Yarrowia lipolytica: one gene and its partner. The protein of the gene in region 1 purifies or fractionates together with the protein of each later gene. This does not show direct contact. Links are inferred from orthologs where the notes say so. Each region holds a gene or a part of one and is shown on either strand. Other genes may lie near its edges.

Region 1 (3,248 bases):
AAGAAGGCAGCCTCCTCGGCTGTCAGATCGTCGAGGTTCACGGGAGTGTCGTCCACAGACTCGGGAACGGACTCGGAGGCGGCAACAAAACCGAGAAAGGCAACGAGGGCAATGTTCTTGAACTGCATGGTGGAGATGAGAGTCAAATGAATTCGAAGAGAGTGGAGACTGAAGATGGAGATGGTGATCCAGTGTGGAACTTGTCGCCATACTTATAGTCCCCAAATCTCACCCGTTGATTGCTCTCGACAACCGATCCAACATGTTCAACATACCCGTCGTCACAACCACCCCTGCACCACCCTTTTGCTTCCCCCTGCTTACCTGCCCTGTTCTATGAGACCTGTTGGAGATCCACTTGACGAAATCGAGTCTTGTTTCGATAGTAGACGTCTCTTGTAGTGTCTTGTAGTCGCTCCAAGCAACGGTATCCCAACTGGGAAGGCGTTTTCGGAGGGAGAAATGCGGAAAAACGCCGGAAAAAGAACTTCGCAAGAACGGTGTTGGATCCACCTCAACTACTCACGATATGTTTAATGTTACATTGCCTAAATACTCTAGATATCCTCCTTGGTTGTATCCTCGATTCCGCCTTCCCCCTACCTCTTCTACCTCGCTTGCGCATTCCCTGTCTACCTGTAATAGTCGGGTCTCTTGAGGTTGAGACCGTACTCGCTGCTTGCCGACGACAAGTCCTCCATAGTGAGGACAATTTTCGACCGACCCGATGTGCTGCTCTGCACCTGCGCGCCTCCCACTCCTGCAACCAGAGCCTTGGCCCGGGCCTGGGGGTTGGAGGCCGAAGACACGGACGACGACGACCGGATGCGCGAGTGCTGGTAGGCGTCGGAGGCCAGATCTGAGATGAATTTCTGGGTCGCCAGCGCCAACAGTCGTTTGATCCGCACATCGTTGGTCTGGAACCCCGATTTTGCCAGATAGTAGTCTGTCACCGCGTCAGGAATGATGGGCGCATACTCGTTCATGTTGTCCAGAAACTCGCTCAGCGTCTTGTCCTTGCGCGTCACCGGCACCGGGCCCGGCACCTGTGCGGTCTCCTCTTCCTCTTGTGCCGGTCCCTCCAGCTCAAAGTCGATATCAATGTCGTTTTCCTCGGGATTGGCATCCTCCATGTCAACATCTTCTGTTCCGGGAGCTGCAGGAGCCCCAGAAGCCCCAGAAGCTCCAGAATCCCGTGCGCCTGGTTCCTTGTCCTCGGAGTTCTTCTCTCCAGTCTCCTTCTTCTCGCCATCCCCCTCAACACCATCTTTGCCTCCCTCTTTTGGACCTTCCTCCTTGCTGTTTGCGTCTGTGTCTGGTGCGCCTTCCGTCGGGGCGGGCTGCGGGTCGTTTTCGGCAGCGGCGGGCTCCGCGGGCTCCGTCTTGACGGTCGTCTCGGGCTCCTTGTCCTTGATATCGCTCATTGACACGTCTTGTGGTGATGACATTTGCAGAGTGGTTGCAAAGTGGGGCGCGTGCGGAGTGAAGTTAGCTTTGCTTAGTAATGATTAGTCAGGGTTGCGAAATGGGCGAGAAGTGGATAATGGAGGAGAGACGAGGTGGGGAGAGAGACGAGGGGAGAGACGAGGTGGAGAGAGACGATGTGGAGAGACAAAGATGGAGAGAAACGAGGTAGGTGAGCTTCTTACCATTTCCAGTGTGTCTGCAAAACTAGGTTGGTTCCTGTTTAGTTGAACAATAGTTAAGGGAAAAAGTACGCTGGGGGTGCCAAAGCGGGCTTCTCGAGGTGCTAGACGGACGAAAAATGTGTCAATGGTTAGAGAAACTGAAAGGATTAATTTTGAGGCTGTTAAATCAAAGAATTATACTGTTTTTGAGCCACTGTGGGCATGTTTCTGAATTTACAAAGAATGTTTTTACTTGGATTTAGTTGGGACAAACAGAAAGAAAAATGTGAGAAGGAGGAAAAAAACATAGAGAAAAAAAGAAGAAAAAAAAAAAGACTGTAAAATCCACAAACTGCTTAAAAAATCTATACAAGGGTCGAGGAACGAGTGAAGACTTGGAAGATGCGGTTAATGGATCTAGACGAGATGGTCATCTGTGACATTCTATCATAGAGCCACTTGTTGACGGCAGCAAAGTGATTCCGAAGCTCAGACCGAACACTGAGTGCTGGTTGTAGCGAATGGACTTGATACGAGCAGCAAAGGTGTTATTGTTGGAACAGTTCCTTTTCCCAGAGAATCAGAAAGCCATGTGAGAACCACTTGAAGGTGGAGTATGGTTTGTGGGTTAGTTCTGTGAAGATGGGCTTACCAAACAGTCCTCTGGCGCGACTAGAGGCCGTCGGTTGAATCATCGCTGTCTGGTTCAGCAAAGACGATTGATTACGGCAAAGACGATTGATTGCAGCAAAGACGATCGATTGCAGCAACGACGATCGATAGAGCAAAGATGATTGATTACAGCACAAGACTCTCCGTACCAGCTGCTGATACAGGAAGTCGTTGAGAGCAGTCGAGACAAGCAATCGAAACACGCAGTTGGCATCAGAAGATGAGAAATGTATGATCTGATCTGATGATCTGAGTTGATGAGTTGCCCCTGTCATTGTCGACTTGGTAGGACTCATGATAACCAATGGTGTCCTCCAGTATCGCCAGGATGGTACGGTATGTACTGTACCGTGCTCAAACGCAACCCTGATGTCTGTTTCGCGGCCATGATGAGCAGAAGTTGGTCAAGCGAAAGGTTGACAATTGAACTCGTTCAACCGACTTTTCAATAGTTCTAACCACCAACTGTTTACCGTTTCTGCCTTCTCGACAATCGAATCTCTCAGTATCAGAATACCAACAGTTGTCTCTCGACAACCGCCCAACATCACCAGATCTAGATCATTGCTTCACGCCCGGTGGAAGACGAATCCGGTGGAAGAGGAATAACGCAATCTCGAAGGTCATGCTCGTCCCTGGGCGTGTCTCGACCGTCAGCTCTGGTTGGCATGGTCCCACATTCTCAGCTGGGCTCACGAGTACGATATTCACCTTGCCAACATGTTTATCTTTCTTTCTGATATTTCACAGCTCCGCCGCTGGCCGCCCAGAAAACAGTCAACCAACAAAAATCCAAGAATCGAGGCTCCAATTGTTGATGGCCATTCAGTGCGAGAAATGGAGACTGTGCTGCGCCGGCCGAGAGCGGAGATAGGTGCAACTCGAGCAGAGCCAGGGGAGAAGGGAAGATGACGACTCTGTATTGGCGGATGAAGAGAGCTGGCTCAA
Region 2 (3,301 bases), on another chromosome or scaffold:
TCGACATTGGTCTGAATGACCTGCGACACGCTGTGGTTTACGACGGACTGTTTGCCTTCTTTGGTAAGAAGAAATACTACTGTCTACAGGCCAACTTGAACAGCTCTCCAGCACGGCACTCCTCGTGGATCAAGCATCTTTTTAGATCAACAGGGAGTCACAGGGACCCCTGGTGGGGAACTCGGTACGTCATGGTCATGGGAAGTGCCAAAAAGTATGTGTTCGACGTTAGAAAAGGGATTTTACAAAAAGTACATGAGCAGACGTTTGAGGCCCCCAAACGGAAGTTCACCTGGAGAGATGCAATTGTCATAGGGACCATATTTGGTTCCGCCGTCATAAACTGGACAGTCATCTATTTCGCCTACAGATGGTTTCTATGACGCGTACTTGTACCTGTACAATCCCATCCATCATATCATATAATATACATTTCGTTATTTGCTATACCTGTATCCTAGCTCTTATGCTGCTGTCAATAAGTTTTTCCATAACATACTGGAAAGCTTTACCTCTTTCAACCACGGAGCCTATCCGATGAAGCTATCCTCCTCCTCCAATCACTTCAATGAATCCACACTAATGATTTTGATGGTCGCCCTTCAGCTATACTTCTCTTTTACAAAACCAACCACTCACCTCTGACGGTTAATTTCTCAACTTGGCATAGCCCTTCACGATGGCCTTTTCCACTCCTGCTCTCTCCTTCTCTAGGGCTCCCAGCAAATCTCTGAGGGCCACTCCGGGTTCTTCCTTGGCTTCTCGTGTCTTTATCGCCGAGTCGCCTCTGCCTCCGCCTGTCTGGCCCATTCGCATTCCTCCAGCACTGGCTCCCACGCCTCCTGCCATCCACGAGTACTTCTTTTTGCCCGAAGACATCATGGCGGCCGTCATGTTGGCAGCCTTGTGCTGCTGGTCCTCGGGGTTGGCTGCAGACTCGGGTTCCGCGTGATCCAGACCCAGCAGGTTCTTGCGCTCTGCTCGCTTGTCCTCCCGCTCCTTGTCTTTGACAGCGATACCCTTGAGCGCACGTGACAGGCTACTGTGCACCGAGTTTCTCGATCGCCGTCTATGTCGCGACAGAACCAGCGCCTGAGTCAGAATCTGGTTGAGCCACTCCTCACAGGCGTGCGAGATGAGCAAAGCCGTTTCTCCGGCTCTATCACTGTTGAATCGCAGGCCAGCTTCCTGGCTTAGCTGTCGGACCGTGTACGCCACCCGTTTCTGGTCCAGCAGCGCGTGTCCCTGCTGTCTGTATCCGTATTGCTGCTGCTGCATGCCGTAGCCGGCCTGGGGCACTCCCTGTTGCAACAGCGCCTCCTCCTGCTTGAGATCAAGACCCACCGCCGAAATGACGTCACTGAGCTGATCAGGATCGAGTGGTTGTCCGGGTCCCTGTCCGCCGGGGCCTCCCTGTTGTTGGTTCTGTGTCTGTTGGTTCTGCGGCATGTTTTGTTGCTGTGGAATGGGTGTATTTGCGCCCGAGTTCATGGGTGACGCCTGGAACTGGCCATAGTTAGACGCATTGTAGTTGTTGAAGGTCTGCGGCGCCATTTTCGGCTTTTTGGAGATTGGTGGCGTCATGGCCGACGTGGAAGTGCGCTTGAAACTGTTGTTGGGGAACTCCTGGTGGAACTGGAGCTGCTGGGGCGGCGACTTTTCCCGGCCGGGCAACAGCACGGGCTCCTGCTTGGCCATCCCCGGCGAGGCCTGCGGATGTGGCGAAGCTGAGTCGCGTTGAGACATGTTGTTGGATGAGGAGCTGTTAGACACAGTGATTTGGTCTGCTCCTGCACCACAGGGCAGGACAGAGTTTCACAGGTTGGGAGTATGTGAGGTGGTGCTGTGTCATGTTGGAGACGGTGAGAGGAGGGAGAAGAGAACTGCTTTATATAGGCGGATTGAGCAGAATGACGGAACAAACGTGCTCTTGTGCCCAAAAAGATTTGCTAATACTCAATGAGACATCCCTAGAGCACTCCCTCACACAGCAATTTATTAGAATCGTATCGTACAATACATAATACCACACTGTACAGCAATCAAGGTTTTCTTTGTATGTAGGATGGGGGTATGTCTATGAGAGGTCTTAGAATGTCATTGTGATAATATTTTCACTCAGTTTTTTGATAAACCTCTGCTTGGTGGTATTATCAGTAATTATGAAAAATTACAGCCCATTTTATTGGTTCAAAGTACTGTTGCAGGACCCCTCAAATTGGAGCCACCAGAACCTTCTCTAATATATACTTCCGTAACCTACCATCCTCCCATATCACTTTGCTGGTGAACATGACGTAATGTTCAACGTCTTACCATCATAAGTATGTAATGTACTGAACGTAGCTATAGTTGATAACCCAGTGAGATACCACAGACACTGGTGGAGACATGTGTCGATACCTCGGATGACCACGTAGTCTTCCTTGAAGTCTTCGAACGGCGGTATTGTCAAGAGTGACTCATCTTTGATACCACTGGTGGAAGTGAGAGAGCAAGACTGTACCTACTTGGGCTTTCATGGTGGCATGAGTACATCATGATAATCGGGCTATAGGTCAGTGAGATGGCCAACTTCAAGTGATCAACGGTTACCAAAAATGACCACCAGTGTGATTGAGTGGATTGGACTAATTACTGTAGTAACTGATAGAACTGGTACATACTGTCCAGTATGTACATACATACAAAACATACATACTTATACTTACCATCTCCTGGTCTATTCCTAGCTTTATCGGAACAGCGGTGACTGTGGAAGTACAGTACACGGTATGTACTCGTAGATGCTGTGTGAATGATTACAATGTGGAGCAGAACTTGACTTGGTTCACAACATACTCCCTGCTATCATTGGTCATGATGAGGTCCTGGTATCAGCCCTCAGATATCTTCTTCCCAGATGGGTCTGCTATGAACCATCCAATTATGGGACATTAACTGAATCATACAAGAGATCTCGTCTGGTACATTGTCTGTATCTTCTCTGTATTGAATACTATTGGTCAATATATGAGCATTCTTGTCACTTGCCTTAGCTATAAGTATTCCTCTAAGGGTCTGCTGATAGTTAGCTCATAGTATCGTAGTTACAGTACAGTAAGTACAGTACGAGTAGGATATTGACGCTATAGACTACGAATACATAATGTACTTATGTACCAGAAGCTCTTACTATAACATACCAGTAAGTACAGTATGTACTGTACATACAGTAGCTACTATAGCTCATAGAAGAGAATCAGCTGTTGTTAAATATCAAGCATTACGGTACTTGTAGCCGTGAAATGATCATTCTAAT

The links. The genes of interacting proteins can lie anywhere in the genome.
Region 2: the proteins of YALI1_E21430g (region 1) and YALI1_F09456g purify together in Saccharomyces cerevisiae (affinity purification with mass spectrometry; 7 studies listed by BioGRID, with this or other methods). This does not show direct contact. The link is inferred for Yarrowia lipolytica from reciprocal best matches to the Saccharomyces cerevisiae genes TAF10 and TAF4.

The regions. Positions count from the first base shown.
Region 1 is NC_090774.1:2,141,179-2,144,426, reverse strand, and holds YALI1_E21430g (uncharacterized protein), read right to left. Parts: upstream 1,449-3,248; coding exon 633-1,448; downstream 1-632. Other genes in the region: YALI1_E21443g (uncharacterized protein), read right to left, coding at 1-128; YALI1_E21417g (uncharacterized protein), read left to right, coding at 2,639-2,699, 2,753-3,174.
Region 2 is NC_090775.1:944,139-947,439, reverse strand, and holds YALI1_F09456g (uncharacterized protein), read right to left. Parts: upstream 1,747-3,301; coding exon 649-1,746; downstream 1-648. Other genes in the region: YALI1_F09481g (uncharacterized protein), read left to right, coding at 1-383. UniProt on the Saccharomyces cerevisiae protein: Functions as a component of the DNA-binding general transcription factor complex TFIID. Binding of TFIID to a promoter (with or without TATA element) is the initial step in pre-initiation complex (PIC) formation.